Callithrix jacchus: one gene and its partners. The protein of the gene in region 1 purifies or fractionates together with the protein of each later gene. This does not show direct contact. Links are inferred from orthologs where the notes say so. Each region holds a gene or a part of one and is shown on either strand. Other genes may lie near its edges.

Region 1 (6,149 bases):
CATCTGTAATCCCAGCACTTTGGGAGGCTGAGGAGGTGGATCACCTGATGTCAGGAGTTCGAGATCAGCCTGGCCAACGTGGAGAAACCTGGTCTCTACTAAAAATACAAAATTAGCCAGGCGTGGTGGCACGTGCCTGTAATCCCAGCTCTTTGAAAAGGTTCTTATGAGGTGATATTAACTAATCCTTGTGCTTTTGAGCTACAGGGCTTTACACATATCTCATCCAAAGAAGGCACCAACTCCTGTCAGTATCTGACACTAAACTGCAAAGGTGACAAAGTAAACTGCTTTCATGAGGCCCAGGGACAGTCTTGTGTTCAAAAACATTACAATTCATTTAACAATTTTGCCTCTATCTGAATTAGTATAATTTATTCAGTGCCTTGATACTAAATCATTTAAATGTTTAGCTACCTATGAACTTCCTTTCCTGTCATTCTCAAAAGTAGGCAGGGTTTATGACCTTTGTGTTCGAAATGTTACTTCTTTCTGTTTTGTTTTACCTACAGACTTTGAAACTATTCAATCCCTCCAGGCCAAAAGACTAAAACATAATATTGTAAGGGCCAATACTGAAGGCTCAAATTAGTTCAGCCCCTACAAAACAAGGATGGCACACAGATACCAACACAGCTCAACAAAATGCTTGCGGTTTGTACGGGTAATTGTGACAAGCCAAGATTACAGCAGCTCAATGCACGGAATTTATAGATAAGACAATTTTGTGACCTTGCCTTTTGGCTTTTGGTTTTTGGCTCTTAACAATCCTTAAGTGGGGGTTTAAGGTTAAAGAGTGCCTGCCCACCTTCCTCCACATCTGGCCTAGAACATTTAATTGACTATAAGTCTGTTAATCATAGGAGGGACATGATGGACTCAGGGCAGGTAGCACATCACCCTGGCATTGATATGGGACGAAATAAAAGTTTGGAAATTGATACTGTCTCTGGGATACCTTGACAAAAAAAAAAAAAAAAAAAAAAAAAAACGGAATGCTGTTTTGAAGGCATGAGCCTAACCACGCCCCATCTGCGAGCATGTGATCAGTAAAACTGCTTTCGTTTCACCGCACCTCGCTTCTCATGTTTTTGGCCTCTAAACAGCAAGCAGCCAGATGTGAGCCAGTTGCAATAGCAGCATTATTTACAATAGCAAAAGATGGAAGCAACCCACTGGATGAATGGATAAACAAAATGCAGAATATACAATACAATGGAGTATTATTCAGCCTTAAAAAGGAAGGAAAATATAATATGTGCTACTATATGGATAAAACTTGTGGACATAATGCTAAGTGAAATAAGGCAGTTACATAAATACAAATGCTGTATGATTTCACTCATGTCAGGTATTCAGGAAAGTAGCATGGTGGCTGCCAGGGGATGGGGAGAAGAAAGAATGAGGAGCTACTGTTTAATAATGCAGAACTTCAGTTTTGCAAGATGAAAGAGTTCTAGAGATGGATGCTGATGGTGGCTGTATAACAGTGTGAATGTACTGCTATTAATACTACTGAACTGTATGCTTAAAAATGGCTCAGATAGCCGGGCGCGGTGGCTCACACCTGTAATCCCAGCACTTTGGGAGGCCGAGGCGGGTGGATCACGACGTCAAGAGATCGAGACCATCCTGGTCAACATGGTGAAACCCCATCTCTACTAAAAATACAAAAAATTAGCTGGGCATGGTGGCGCGTGCCTGTAATCCCAGCTACTCAGGAGGCCGAGGCAGGAGAATTGCCTGAACCCAGGAGGCGGAGGTTGCGGTGAGCCGAGATCGCGCCATTGCACTCCAGCCTGGGTAACAAGAGTGAAACTCCATCTCAAAAAAAAAAAAGGCTGAGATATTAAATTTTATGTGTATTTTACCACGATTTTTAAAAAATTAAATGAAAATAGGTCAGGTGCGGTGATTCACGCCTATATTCCCAGCACTTTCGGAGGCCGAGGCAGACAGATCACTTGAGGCCAGGAGTTCCATACCAGCCTGGCCAACATGGTGAAACCCTGTCTCTACTAAAAATAACAAAAATTAGCCGCATGTGATGGCACATGCCTGTAGTCCCAGGTTCTTGGGAGGCTAATGCAGGGGGATCGCTTGAACCCGGGAAGCAAGGGTTTCAGTGAGCCGAGATCACGCCACTGCACTCCAGCCTGGGCAACAACAGCAAAATTCCGTCTCAAAAAACAAAAATTTTAAATTAAAAATTAAATGAAAATAAAAACTATGAGTAACAACCCACATCGATGAAAACCAGTAGGGAAAGGAGAACTTCCTACTGCCCAGTTAATCATGGCCTGACCAGCAGGCTGTGGGAATTGGAAACCAAGGGCGTGGCAAGGGCAGGTCTGGGGCTCCGCGCTGGGCAGGACTGCAAAGAAGCCACAGGTTCCAGCGGGTAAACCCGCAAACGGGACTGCTATTGCGCAGGCGCAAGACACCTTTTAAACGTGCCCGGAAGTGACGCTTGTAATGCTGAGACAGACTCCCAGATCTCAGCAAGTCGCGTAGCTGAGCCCGGCAGGTCCAGTGGGGTCGTGCCGCTGCTATGAGCTGCACCATCGAGAAGATCCTGACAGATGCCAAGACGCTGCTGGAGAGGCTGCGGGAGCACGATGCGGCCGCTGAGTCACTGGTGGATCAGTCGGCGGCGTTGCACCGGCGGGTAGCCTCTATGCGGGAGGCGGGGACGGCGCTTCCGGATCAGGTCAGGCAGAGGGTAGGAGTCCAGTGCTCTCGGATTCTGGGCACTGAAGGGTGGAGAGCGAGGTAAAGTGGGAACTCGGCCTGGAATTGATTCCGCGTCTCAGAGGGCGGCGGTGAGACATTTTTCCTGGGTCGGGGCTGAGAAACCTGCCCCGGAGCGCTGATTTCTGCCTCTTCAGTTGCATCTGCCGCTGTTCTCTACTTAGTCTGTCTCTGTTTGTCCAGTATCAAGAGGATGCATCCGATATGAAGGACATGTCCAAATACAAACCTCACATTCTGCTGTCCCAAGAGAACACACAGATTAGAGACTTGCAGCAGGAAAACAGAGGTTAGTCGGGCCTTTTCATATCTGGTAATAGTTTGAAAGGTATTGCAGAATTGCCCTAACCGTTCACAAAAATGTACATATATTTCCAGGTCAGTACTTTTAGTAGGCGAGTCTTCCTGTGCTGGCCCGGTAACAGCAAAGGTTTTTAGATTACCCTTTTCAAGATCATCTGACTGATTTTGTAGCAGCTTACCAAAGAGCTGCTAAGTAGAGTTGAATTCTTGCAAACTTTAATGTTTAATAAGTATTAATGAAAATAAACACTAAAGGTAAGGTTTAAGGTTTTGTTTATGTTCTTGTTCATGCAAGGGAAGCAGCAGAATGTTATTTTAAGGGTATATATTCTTCGGCTTGATTAGTATATTATTAATAATTGTAGTATTACTAGTTGTTTACCAGCGGGGTTTCACAGGTATCATTCTACTGTATTCTCCTATCTTCATTTTTAGCTATTTATTACAATGCAGTTAAGAAATACACTCAGAGACGCTAAATGATTTACTTACAAGTATTAACGAAGCAAGTTACAGAACTGAACTCAAACCCGTGTCTTCTGATGACATATCCTTTGTTGTTTCTGCTTCTCTGCCTAGAAAGTTATCTTTCACATAGACTTTAACTGTTCAGTTTTGTGGACTTAAACCCTGATTTACAGCTTTGGATTCATATTATCTCTATAGTGTTACAAAATTCCAACTGTTAAGACTTTGGATATGGGAGCGCTCTCTCAGACATCACTGCCAAGTTATTTTATTTTTGATAGAGCTCTGGGTTTCCTTGGAGGAACACCAGGATGCTTTGGAACTCATCATGAGCAAGTACCGGAAACAGATGTTACAGTTAATGGTTGCTAAAAAAGCTGTGGATGCCGAACCAGTCCTGAAAGCTCACCAGTCTCACTCTGCAGTAAGAAACTTTGAATAAATTCGAAATGAACTGAATTGAAATCTTGAGATTGTTCATTGTGTGCTTGTTTTTGTTTTGTTTTTTGAGATAGGGCCTGGCTCTGTCGACCAGGCTGAGGTACAGTGGCACGATCTCAGCTCACTGCAACCTCTGCCTCCTGGGCTCAAGCCATCCTCTCATCTCTGCCTCCTGAGTAGCTGGGACTACAGGTGTACACCACCATGCCCTGTTAATTTTTGTGTATGTGGTTTTTTGGTTTTTGGTAGAGATGAGGTTTCACTGTGTTGCCCAGGCTGGTTTGAAACTCCTGTGCTCAAGCAATCCATCTACGTTGGCCTTCCAAAGTGCTGGGGTTACAGGCATGAACCACTGTGCCTGGCCATGTGTGCTTGTTTTTGAAGAAAAGTAAGCTTGTTTTCCTTTCATGTTTATCACGTTTGTTGTTGATTTTGCCATGGCTTTGTAAAGATATGAATAGAAAGGAGGAGGATGGGGCTGCTCAGGTCCTTTTATTTGAGTAGGAGTAAGGTACCCCCTCCCTTACCAAGATCTCTTTTGAAGATGTTCATTAATTCTTAGCTCTCCCACCAAACATAATGCCAGTTAGTGTTGAAGATGCCCAGTAAACACTTGGTTGCTTATTCTTTATACATCTCACTTAAGCTCCTTTGTTGTAAGGAGCATGAATTCATATTTTATTCCTACCATAGTACCTGACATACAGCAGGCGGTCAGTAAACATTTTTTAAACTGAACTACATAGCATTATACCATGTTGTTAGGGAAGAGAAGTATGCTTTTTTTTAAAAAAAAAAACAAAAAAACAAGCATGGCATAGTTTCTATACTTTGCTTATGATCTAATTTGAGAGACTCAGTAATTATTCTTATGCTTGTAGGTGCTTCGTAGATGTCATTGTACATTCATGTGTACTGTATGATTTAAATCTAGATGTGTAGATTGGAGCCTACTATATGCTACTGTGAGATGCAGTGAAAGATAAGCTTCGTCTTAAACTCCATTGAATGCATTTTACTGACTTAAAAGTTTTAGGAAACAGATATTTTATAAATATTTGAATGGCTTTCATCTGGAATAGAAAAGTAGATTTTATTTTTTCTCTTATGGAGGAAAAAACTTGAACCTTGAAAGAGACAGAGTTTACTCAGATAGATAAACTTTCTAAGTGATATGTCCAAAGATGAAATGTAATAAGCTTCCTGCCAATTAACGTATTCAAATTTAAGTTAGCCACTTAGAGATAGTATCCAACATCCAATGGGTAGTTAAACTACAATTGATTTTTCAAAAAAAAAAAAATTATCTGTGAATACCACAAGGTCACTTGACTATGGCTTTATATCTGAGGACTAAAATTGTAGTGAAACTCCACTGTAACTTCTGTAACATAGATTAAATGAACTTTTAAAAATCATAACACACACACTCTTACGTTCTTTATTTCTATAGAACAAATGATTTTTTCACCTTTGTTTCCTTAATATCTCCACAGGAAATTGAGAGTCAGATTGACAGAATCTGTGAAATGGGAGAAGTGATGAGGAAAGCAGTTCAGGTGGATGATGACCAGTTTTGTAAGATTCAGGAAAAATTAGCCCAATTAGAGGTAAGATTGTTGTCATTTTGGGTTCACAGTATTTCAGAGTTTCCAGAGTCTGGAAGATACACCCTCACTGTCCTATCACTGTAATATATTGATGTTTTCTGTGTGTTTATGATTTAAAATTAAAACTCCTCCTTCATACCCTATGAAGAAAGAAAATATAGTAAACAGCAATCAAAGGAAATACCAACTATGTATTGGCAAGAAGTTGAGATATCATGCGAAGGTAGTGGGAGTGGAGGGGAGAAGTTATATGTGAGATAAAATCCTCATCTGCCATAATAAGAAGGGAAATAGGTAATACCTAACTAAAATCTTTGATCAGGAAATAGCAGTATAAATGTATTATTTAGAATTATGAATTAAATACCAAAAGAAATAGATAAAATAGTGGTTGCATTTGGGGTGCAAAGCCAAAGAACCGCTTGTATAAGCCATGTAGTCTTGATTTCTTAAAAGCTATGCTTATGTCATATTTTGATTAGAATAGGAATATGTTACAAAAAAGGGTTTGGGGTATAGTGTGCCCATAAAATTGTTAAGGAAAAACATTTCAATTTTGGGAGGTTAAGGCAAGTG
Region 2 (5,467 bases), on another chromosome or scaffold:
GTCTTCCAGGCCCTGTGCCTCAGTGACCGCAGTCAAGTCCCTCCACTGTCTACATCTGTACCCCTCTGTAAAACGGGTTGAGCAGGGCACAGGCAGCACCCTGTAACAGCTTGCAGGGGGCACCTGGAGAACTTACATCGCAACTGAGGTCGTTGTCGTTGGTGACGGTGAGATCTGCCAAGTCCCCCAGGCTCACCTCCCCGCCCCCGATAGTGTCCATGATGAAGACGTCTGAGGAGAAGCCAAAGGAACCTGGTAGGGGGAGGGGAGGGAGGGGCAGAGAGGGCCAGGGAGAGAGAGAATGACAGAGAGAGGCAGAGAGAGAGATAAGGAGCAAGAGAGAGAGACAGGGAGAGGACAAGATGAAGAATCACAGCTGGAAAGAGACAGAGAGACAGACAGGGCAGGACAGACAAAAAGAGAGGGAGACAGACAGACAGACGAACTTTTGGGGCAGGGAGGCTGCAGACTGGAGGCTGGGCCTCGACCCTGAGGACACAGAAGCCCTGGGCTCAGCTCTGCAGCCTCCCTCTGCCGTGGGCCCGCAGGACTGGGGCCAGGTGGGGGGTGCCTCTTACCTTCGTGTGGCCGGGGCTGGGGTGTGCCAGGAGGTGGGCCGGTCACTTTTGGCGGCAGCCCATCCACATCCCGCAGGTCAGCCAGGATGCCTTGGAGTTTGACCCGACGGCTTTCTGCAGGATCAAGGAACAGGGCCGGAGTCGCCTAGCAGTTCCAACCCAGCCTGCTGCAGGTGATGCCTTTCCCACACCAAGGACCCCCTGCTACTGTGGGGGGCTGTGAAGCTCTGGCCCCAGTGGGGCTATGGGCAGAGGAGGGGAAGCTGACTGGGCCCCTCCGTGGGCAGTAGGCAGGTCACTGCCTTGCCTGGGCCTCAGGCCCCAGCCATCCATCCCATGTGACCTGAGGGCCCTCCTAGCTGGGAGTCACAAGACAAGGAGGAAGACACAGCCCTCCCACCTGCTTCTCCCCCACTGGGTCCTCATCCTGTTCCCTCCTTGAGGCCGGCCAGAGCTAGACGCCCGCCCTAGAAGGCTGGCGGCACTGCTTCAGGAAGAGCCAGGCCTGCCTGCATCTCCACGGGGATTTTCCAGGGAAGAGGTGAGGGGCTGGCCACCATGGCCTGGGCCTCCTGCTCTCCTTGGCTACCCTCCTCTCAGGAAGCGTATCCGTCCGGTGGAGAGACCCTGCACAGGAAGCAGCTGTGGGCAGCTGGGCCTGCTCCCGCCCCTCAGTGGGGAAAGCAAGCGGAGCCTGGCCAGAAAATCTGAGCTCACCCAGCTCGTGGGGGCTCCCATCCATGGGGCACCGCCGAGGGTCTGGAGCCCCTTCCCCGTCCTCTCCTGAGCCCAGGAAGTCAAACTCGTTGATGGCATCCTCAGAGTCGTCCTCCTCGTCCTCGTCTTCCATTTCGGGCACCAGGGCCTTGGATGGGAGCTGGGGCATAGAGAAAGCCAGACAAGTCAGGGGCCCTCTTGTCCAGAGACTAAGCCACCCCCATGCCTGAGAACAGATAATCTGGGGCTCCGGGCCTGTCTCTGCTCATGGGGCTGCCTCAGCCACCAGCTGGCTGCCCTGGAGCGCCCCCTGCCGGAGTCTTGGACGGCTGCTACCACTGGGGCTGGTTGGTCTGGCCCCACCCAGCTCAGCCTGTTCCAGTCCCCTAGCACCCAGCCTTGAATGAAGAAAAGCCACATAATGCAACAATCTGCCTTCAGGGAGAGCAGATATGCACTGGTGTCCGTGTGTGAGCATATGGAGGTGCAAACTGAAGTGAGGACAAACAGACCACAGCATTGCAACCATAAACACAGCAGCGGCCTCTGTGCAGGCTCAAGAGCAAATCCCACTCACTGACTACGCTCGCAGACACGGCTTTACTTAACCCCACCCCTGTGAGCAGCTACCGTGAACACTCTCATCACTCCCCATGACAGCCCAGGAGACCGAGCCTGAGTAGGGCAACCCACTTGCCCCAGGTCATCAAGGCCAAGCTCAGCCCACCGTCAACTCCTCCATCGTGTGGCTGGCCCCATCCACATGTCGGCACCCAGGCTAAGTCTGGCGACACCTCTAGGGCACCAGTGAGGGGCCAGCCTCTGACCGGCATGGGGGGACCAGACAGACGGGACATGGAGAAGAACTATGGTCAAGGTTTATTCAACACCTGGGGAAAGAATGGGGAGGGGGCTTTAGGACTACAGAGGAGGGAACTGCCCTGGGCGCTCTGAGGGGCACACCAACGAGCCGCAATGGTGCTCTGCCAGCAGTGCCTGGAACAATGAGAGCTCCACCACACCAATGCCACCAGCGCCACTAACACCTGATGAGCACTTGGGGGACAGCCACCGTGCAGCTGAGGGCTTCCTGGGCACCAGCTATTTCTAATGAATCCTCAACTACCAGACACAGAGACTCAGCCCGATCTGAAGGGAGAGGAGACTGAAGCCAAGACAAAGCAGCGTGGGCCCGAACTCATGCAGCTGGGCTGGGGCCACCTGGGAGACAGGGGCAGTCCCCTGGGTTCCCAGCTGGGCCTCACTGGAGGGCTGCCGTGTGGAGACAGAGAGCCCTACACAACCAGCCAGCCCCAAGGGTGCAGGCCTGTGGGGCTGTAAACACCACGGATGATTCCTGAAGGGACAGGTGGAGGGTGGAAAAGGACTGGAAATTCCCAGAGGGGCAGGAAGGAGCCAGCGTCTGGACCAGGGGCCAGCATTTGAGGCCCTGGACTCGGCCCTCCTGCTCCTCCTCTAGGCCTCTTGCAGTGCTGCAGCTCCGTGCACACCACTCCATTTGGGGTGTGACTCTGTGCTGAGCCACACTGGGAACACTGGAGAGGGAGTGGAGGCCCAAACAAACCCAGTCCCTCCCAGACCAGACAGGGAGGACCCCAGAGTGGCCAAGAACAGGGAAGGGGGCCCAGGGTGAGTTAAAGAAGGCTTCCTGGGGGGTGGGGGGTACCTGAGCTGAGTCTAAAGGAGGAAAGGAAGGGGACCCAGGCGAAGGGGCCCGCTAGTGGGAAGGCCAGGGCCCAGGGAAAGCCCCGAGGCCATCTCCCGCAGGTCCCTCCTTCATGGGCACAGGCCCCAGCCTCCACCACAATGTGTCTTTCTGCACACTACTATTTACAAGGCCGCTGCTGGCCAGAGCTCCTCCAGGCTAGGGCCTGTGTGTCTCCACATCCCTACTGCCGACACAGTGTAGGCCCTGAAGGCCCCAGCTAACTCTGGGAAGGGCCTGGACCAGGTAGCAGCCGGCCAGGCTTCGGGGGCGTGGAGGAAGGGGCTCACCTTCACACGCTGCTTCTTGTGCTGCACGCTGTCCAGCTCATCATCCTCGTCGCTGTCTTCGTCCTCGCAGTTCTGCAGGAAGGGGATCTGCCCCAGCACCGAGCTGCCCAAGCGCTCTTTGCCATCTCTGCCTGCCGCGTTCCTGCCCAAGACAGCAGAGCAGAGGAGGATGAGTCCTGCCAGGTGTCAAATCTCAGATGGGAAGGTGCCTGCCCAGGCTTGGTGGCCAGAGTCCAGACCCAACTAACCCCCTAAACCTTGAGAAGCCTTGACTCTGGTCAGACACAAAGCCCCAACCCCAGCCTCTGCCCAACAAATGCTCATTCCAACTGGAAGCCTCACTTAGACCACAGACAGTCCTCACTGACCTCCGACCCGAGTTCCAGAGGGCCAGCCCCCAACCCTGGCCACAAATCTCCATCCTATGCCGAGTCAGGAGGAAAGCTGGATGAGAAAGTGCCACTGACTCAGAGTCCCCATTCCGACAGCCTGGTCAGACCACAAGAGCAGGTCACGCAGGAGGCAGATCGTCCCGCAGGAGGCAGATCGTCCCGCAGGAAAGACTAGCGGCCATTCTACAAATGCTCAGCAAGGCGCCAAGAGCCAGCCAGCCTCGCATGAGCGGGGGCGCCGGCGATCCCTGCTACTCAGGAGCCTGCACTATCCTCAGCAACAGATGGCACTCCTCCCTCCACCTCCTGGCTTCCAACTTCATGACAGGTTTTAGCAGAGGAGGTACTGACCCAGCCTGACTGCGGAGAAGGCAGGTGGAATTCGAAGTACAGATCGACGCAAACATCCCCTATCCTGCCATCAGGTTGATGCCCTGGAGGTCTTGTCAGCTGCCCAAGGGTGCAGTTACCACTCGGTGTAGAGATCACTGCAGATTTACCCACTTGCTTCAGGGCTGCCATCTGCAGAACTCCGCTCCATGCTCTTAAACACCTGCCCAGAATACTCCCTGCACTCCCAGCGGGACACGGGACATGGGACACTGTTCTCATGGTACTTCCTCCCAGACACCGACACCAGCTGCATGGGCTCAGCCTCCTTCTCAGCTTCCTCTTTCTCCCTCCAGCCTCTAAGTGAGAGAGCACCCGGGCTCAGTCCCCAGATCTCTTCTCTAACCATCTACACTCATTCCAGGCACTGCAGGTGGCCCGTGGTTTTCCAAAGAATGCCCATGTGCTTGTTCAACTAGAGCTATGTTTAGGGGCCCGAGCTCCGCATCTCCACATGGGGGTAAACAGGCCCCTCATGCTTCACATGACCTTGGCAGCCCCCAGAACTTCCACTCCAAGCTTCCCCGTCTCAGGGGGATGCTGCTCCAATGGCTCACAACAAACCCTGGAGTCCCCCATTTCTTTCCTCTCCCCTTAGCTGCAGTCCTTTAGCGTCAACTGCCCGAAAGCCCCTGGGGAAGTGAACACCTCTTGCCTCGCCACTGCTAAGGCCCATCAGCTCTGGCTTGGACATCGAGATCCTCTCCCAACCGGTCCCCCTGCCTCGTAGGGGACCCTCCTACAGCCTCTCCTTCTCAGAGCGAATCAAGAATGTGGGATTATGTCACTCCCCTGCTCAAAACCACTGGCTTCCCATACCCGACTCGAATCTAGACTAACCCAGCCCAAGGCCCGAGTAACAGACTCCGTGGTGACCTCCTGTGGCCCACGCCTCACCGCCTGCAGTCACGCCAGTCTCGTGCTGCTTCTGCATGGGCTACACCTCTCCTGCCTCAGGACCCCGGGGTTCACTGTGCCCTCTGCCTAGAACATTCTACTCATGCAGCTTATCTCTGCACAAGCATCACCTCCACAGAGGCCCTCCCTGCCCACCCCCCCCCAGAGGAGCACTATTTCACTGAGCACGTATTGGCCCTCGTGGGCTTCACTGCACTTAGCATCACCTATATGGCCTCGCTTGTTTGGCTTAACTGACAACCACTGATGAAACAATGAACAAGCCAGAGCTTCCCGAGGGTGGCCACCTCACATGCTCCACTCCCTGCTGGCGAGGCACCCCACATGACCGAGGAGCATGCAGGTCTGAGTATCAGGATGGGAGCAGGGCTGGAGATGAGGCCATGGGAAAGTGTGTGGAAGGAACTCAGAACAGAATCCAGGGGATCCCAGCAGTGAAGAGACTGAGGATTTTGA
Region 3 (5,630 bases), about 4.9 Mb from region 1:
AATATGTAAGATATTATACATCAAGTGGTTAGAATGCTGGCTGGCACAGAGTAAGTCCTCAGCATTTGCTGGTTGTGTAGAACATAAGCCTTCAAGAAGCATCTAATATTGTGCCTGGTACCTACTTGGCACCCTATAAGTAGTAACTCTTATATTAACAAGGGACAGCTCCCAGCCTTAGAGTGATACTACCTCAGGTTAATCTGTTCCTCTGTGGATTGAAAGAGCAGTGGACCCTGAGCCTACTTAGCAATAAAAAACCTTTTATGTAACTCAATCATTTACAAAGGGTCCTCATGTACTCTGCCCATTTCATGACCCAGATGAGATTTTAAAAGCCACAAAAAAGGGGTGGCTCCAAAAGACATTTCTGTACAAAGACCTGAGTTCAAATGGCCACCTGCCACCAACACACTCTGTGGCTGTGAGAAGCCCCTTCCTCTCCCCAGGCTGGCTCCTGGGCCTCTAGCTGAAGGGATTCATCTGCGCAGGCTTTACGGCCCTTGCGGCTTTGATAGTCCTGCATACTCTTTCGCAGGTCAGAGGAGAGACAGGCCTCTGAAGATGCAGGCTCAGTGACTCAGGCTTCACGGGGACAGTAAGAATGTGAAAATCCATCTCTCCCAAACTGACATCTCAAGGATACATATTTCCTATCAGTCCTTGCAAGAAATCGCCAGAAATCCATCATGCACATAAATTGTGTCAGTTCCCTTGTCCTGTGCAGGTTACTTTGGGATAAAGGGCCCATCAGTCACAGGGACTTCCCATCTCACAGACTGTGAGCACCAGGAGTCCGCTGCTTCCTTTCACCCCTGCTGTCCCTAACCATGCCGGCACATCAAAATGCCTGTCCTGAGGCTCAGCAGGTCCCAGGCCAGGCAGGCACTGAACACAAGACCCAATGAAAGGGAGATTCTCCCCAGAACACTGTTTCCTTTACAAGTCAAGACCCCTTGGAGATTCAAGAACCCATAAAACAACTGCCTACAGGTAAAATAAGAGCTTCCAGGAATTCTAAAAAGGAAACAGTCCTTTCACGAGCATCAAAACAGTAAAATCTTCTGAGGCAGACACAACCAGGAGTCTAGAGACCAGAGTGTAGGCTCCAGGTGTCTGTCCACTGACACCTACTAGAGATTCTCCTTGCTTTTCTCTCGCCCACAGTGGGGTCCTCGGCCCTCCAACTCTGTTTCCTACCATGCCCTGACTCCTGATGGTCTGCTTCCTAGGCTCCAACACTTAAGTTTCCGATCAGTCCCAACCACCTACCCCAGGGAGGGCCTAGAGCAGCTGATCCTCTTGCTTTCACCTAGTCCCTCCCTCCCTAGCACTGACACTGGTTTGGCTGAGGCTAGCTCAGGGATGGGATCCAGAGAAACCCGGGGCTCCTACTGAAATTCCAGCAAACCCAGGGGTGCAGGACAATTCATCAATAGAGTAACCTAGTGCTCTGGAGTTGGGCGAGAGCAATCCCAGATTACTGTGGAGTTAACTTACACTGGATAAATGCCAACCCCCCCTTCCTCTTCCCCCAGGATGGGAGTGGCGGGGAGCTTGGCAAAGACAAGCGGTGACCAGCAATACTGAAGGAAAAAAGACACTTTCTAGACCTGGAGGAGATAAAAAGAGGCCATATTTCCTGCAGACAAGCCAAGGGGAATTATTTTGCTTCTTTTTAATGTAAACAGAATACACAAACACATTAAAAACCCCAACATGACACAGGAGAATATACACGGAATTATATATAGATATTTACAAGCCATCAAAAGCAAAAAGGAAAAATGGCCCCTCTGGTTAAGGGAAGCTTCTCTTCCTATCTCATCCCTGTCCAAAATCAAAGTGCTGAGGCAGCTGCAGGAACCTCTGCGATTACTTCTGGATATAATGTAGCAGGAGGCTGGAATGACATCAGAAACCCCCCACCCCCACTCCAGAGCACAACCAAGATACTGACTTTCTGGCCCTGGCCCTAATCCTAAACCCTCCTCCTTTGCAAGCTGACAAAGCAAGGATTTGTCTGTCTCGGGAGGCGTCAGCTTGACCCCTGAAATTCAGATGCACTGCAGAGGGGTTCCCATCCCATTCCAGCTTTCCCAGCCTTGGGCTGATTGTGAAATGAGCCAAAGTCAACCATGTCCAAGAGAGGAGGGTGGAGGAAGTAAAGAAAGAATGGATCCCAGGCAGAGATGACTGCTTCTGAGCAGGACCCTGGGAACTAACGGGGAGGTCAAGCTGGGCTCACCAAAGCCCAGAAGAGACTGTGGAGGACACAGTGGGGCTGTGCTGCCACCTGGAGGGGAGTGGGAGCTCTGCAGCAATGAACTAGGACAGTACTGCAAGTACCTTGAGATCATCCTTTCTTTCAGTTTCAGTCTCCTAACCAACAGCCTCACTGCAGCAGCTCTTCCCAGGAAATGGGCTTGGAGAAGACCTCCCTTTCTAACCACAAGTCATAGTTCATCTGAAAGTCCTCAGGGAGGTCCACCCGTTGGCCCAGGACACTCTGCAGGCAGTTGTCCACTGGCAGGAAGTCAGGGTTGCTGTGGGCCCGGTCATAGCGCCGGGCATTGAAGCGTTCAATGTTGGCACGGAGGGCACACTCCTCTGCCTGGAAGTCCCAAGGCCGGGCATCAAGATCTGAGACAAAGCAGGAAGAACACAGTTAGGAGCCAAGCCCTGTGGCAGCTCCCCATGGATTCACTGCAGCTCAGGGGCCTGGCTAGGAATGTTGAGTGTCAACTAGGAGCAGGACACCTCCGAGTTCATCCTCAGAAAGATGACAGGAATTCCCTCCTAGATCCAAAGGAGAGTCAAGGATAAGCAGAAAAGACAGAGGTACTGAGAAAGAGGCTTATACTGTACGGATTATGTAGACCCAGAGAGGGAGAGCCATGTATTCAATACGTTTCTGTCTAAGTGGCATTCTCCCTGGCTCTCTGGGGTCAAAGGCAGGAAGCCTGGCAATACTCTCATTTGCTCGTTCTCTCCCAACTCCCTGACCAGGTACTGCGTGCCACCATGGGCCTGCACACATTCATAGGGCATTGGGAGTACAGACACAGTCATTTAGCCATGGTGCTATATTCCAGGTACACAACAACGCAGCAACACACACACAGAGCAGCCCAGGTGGGCAGGGGAGGTACTGCGGACAGAAGGAAGAGTGCCTGCAGAGCCTGGCAGTGGGAGCCACATGGCTCATGTGCCAGGACCAAGCACTCCTTGTGCCTGTTGCCCTGGGTATGATGGAGGCTGGGCTGACAGCAGGGAACAAGGTTGAAAAGGAAGCTGGGTCAGATTGCAGAGGAGGAGAATGAAAAAGGACGAGTGAGCCTCACATGCCCTGCCTAAGAGTTTGAGTCTAATTCTAAGGGAAATAGGAAGCTAATGAAGGATTTTACTCAGGGCAGTAACAGCACAGGATCTGCATGTTGAAAAGATTCACTAGGGGGCCAGGTGCAGTGGCTCATGCCTATAATCCCAACCCTTTGGGAGGCCAAGGCTGATGGATCCCTTGAACCCAGGAGTTCAAGACCACCCTGAGAAGGCGCAGTGGCTCATGCCTATAATCCCAGCACTTTGGGAGGCCAAGGCGGGTGGATCACTTGAGACCAGGAACTTGAGACCAGCCCGGCCAACATGGTGAAACCCTGTCTCTACAACAAATCCAAAAATTAGCTGGATGAGGTGGCATCCAATTGTAGTCCCAGCTACTTGAAAGGTTGAGGTGGGAGAATCGCTTAAACTTGGGCGATGGAGGATGCAGTGAGCTGAGAGCCTGGGCGACAGAATCTCTATCTAAAAAAAAAAAAAAGTCCACCCTGGGCAACATAGTGAAACCCTATCTCTACAAAAAAGATACAATTAGCTGGGCATAGTGGCAAGTGCCTGTAGTCCCAGCTACTTGGGATGCTAAGGCAGAAGGATCACTTTAGCCCAGGAGGCAGAGGTTGTGGTGAGCCGAGATCACACTCCAGGCTGGGCAAGAGAGCGAGACCCTATCTTTAAAATAAAAAATTAAAGTAAAAAAGAATCACTAGGGAAATCTGAGACACTGATGGAGGGGAAGGAACTGGAGGAAGGGAAGTCAGTCTGGAACTATACTATAAGAGTTTAGGTAGCCAAAATGGGGGTGAAAAGAGGGGACAAAGTCTTTAAACAATTTCTAGAAAATGAATGACTGGGAGGGACAGGGAGAGATGGGGCATGATCAGAGATGCCAAGCCTGGGTAGCTTCCCAACGTCCTTCCTAGAGTGCCTGTCCTGAGGCAGCAAAAGCAGGAGCTGGGCTCCTTCCTGCTCCTCGGTGGGAAGCTCAGGGCAGAGAAGTGCCTGAGTACCACGGGCAGGGACTGAAAGATGTCACCTTTCCCAAACACCCCAATCCCAACCTGGCTGAGTGCAGAGCCTCACCATTGCCGTATGCCCAGTCGTCGTTCAGCCGATGCCGCACCTTCTGGTAGATGGCAGACATGGTCTTCATGTTGCTCTTTCGCCACTGCCGCCCCAAGTATTTGGTCTGCACCTTGAGCAACTTCAGCACATAGAGCTGCATCATGGCTTGTTTCACCTTGAGGGCCCGCTTCAGGATGGGGGCTGACTTGAACACCACCAGCATCTAGGAAGGGAGATCAGAAAGCAGCCCAAGGTGAGGACAGAACTAAATGCAGACGGTCGGGTCACACTGCCGCTTAACCCTCTGGAAGTTATGGGCAGGGTGACAAACCATCCCAGTTCCCCTTGGACTGAAGGGTTTCCTGATACATAGGACTTTAAATGCTAAAACCAGTAGAGTTCCAGGCTAACCAGGATGGTCAGTCACCCTAACTATGGGTCACTTTGGAATCTGAAGCTATGGATTCTTCCCAGAAATATTCCTGTGTACACAGACACAAGTATCAGAGGATTCAAGGACCTCCTCACCCCAAAGGCATCCAGACCCAGAGTCAAGGAGGATTCTCACAATCCTGGTTATGTTACCCATCAAGATTAAGGCGACACGGAAAAAGCTCTTCTGTAAGTGTAGATTTGTTTCAGTGTATGGCTTAGCCTCTTCCAGCTTCCAGTTCATCTCATCAAGAACTGGGAATTAGCCCTTAAAATGCAAGGATATGGCTACAGCAAAGTTAAGGGAAAAGGCCCAGTGAGCTCTGCCCTGGGGACTCCCTGCTCCCAGCATGAAATGCGACACTCTTCTTCGAGCTCCAAGTTCCAAGCCTGCTGACTGCACTGACTCACTTACCATTGTCCTTGAATGCTTCCACTTTGTCAGTTTGTTCAAGATCCGAAGCAGATTGATACAGGAAAAGAGGTTCCTCCAGCAAAACTGGTTACTGTCGCCTGCTTCCTGCAGGGACAATCGGGGACAATCAGGGACAATCAGCCCCCACGGCTGCAGCAGGCCCTCACATGCGATCTCAGGACAGCTGGGCCTCCAGGCCTCTTCCAGGAACCCCCTGCTCTCAGAGCAGCCTGGGGACTCCATCCCAGAAGTTGGCAGGGGACTAGGGCAAGAGGGAAGCTCCCTAGACTTTTCCTGCAGGAAACATGAACCAGGATCCTGGGAGCTGTGGCCTCAGGCTGCCCCAGAGCTCCTACTGCTGAGTCCAGTGTTCGGGGAAAGA

The links. Proteins that work in one complex are often made in the same cells at the same time.
Region 2: the proteins of SIKE1 (region 1) and STRN4 purify together in Homo sapiens (affinity purification with mass spectrometry; 3 studies listed by BioGRID and IntAct, with this or other methods). This does not show direct contact. The link is inferred for Callithrix jacchus from reciprocal best matches to the Homo sapiens genes SIKE1 and STRN4.
Region 3: the proteins of SIKE1 (region 1) and STRIP1 purify together in Homo sapiens (affinity purification with mass spectrometry; 3 studies listed by BioGRID and IntAct, with this or other methods). This does not show direct contact. The link is inferred for Callithrix jacchus from reciprocal best matches to the Homo sapiens genes SIKE1 and STRIP1.

The regions. Positions count from the first base shown.
Region 1 is NC_133508.1:152,759,651-152,765,799, reverse strand, and holds the start of SIKE1 (suppressor of IKBKE 1), read left to right. Parts: upstream 1-2,474; 5' UTR 2,475-2,551; coding exon 2,552-2,722; intron 2,723-2,934; coding exon 2,935-3,040; intron 3,041-3,803; coding exon 3,804-3,946; intron 3,947-5,459; coding exon 5,460-5,573; intron 5,574-6,149.
Region 2 is NC_133523.1:40,707,143-40,712,609, forward strand, and holds part of STRN4 (striatin-4), read right to left. Parts: intron 3,454-5,467; coding exon 3,312-3,453; intron 1,456-3,311; coding exon 1,296-1,455; intron 693-1,295; coding exon 579-692; intron 253-578; coding exon 137-252; intron 1-136. UniProt on the Homo sapiens protein: Calmodulin-binding scaffolding protein which is the center of the striatin-interacting phosphatase and kinase (STRIPAK) complexes.
Region 3 is NC_133508.1:147,905,345-147,910,974, reverse strand, and holds the end of STRIP1 (striatin-interacting protein 1), read right to left. Parts: intron 5,354-5,630; coding exon 5,249-5,353; intron 4,625-5,248; coding exon 4,420-4,624; intron 2,644-4,419; coding exon 2,396-2,643; 3' UTR 1,664-2,395; downstream 1-1,663. UniProt on the Homo sapiens protein: Plays a role in the regulation of cell morphology and cytoskeletal organization. Required in the cortical actin filament dynamics and cell shape. Part of the striatin-interacting phosphatase and kinase (STRIPAK) complexes.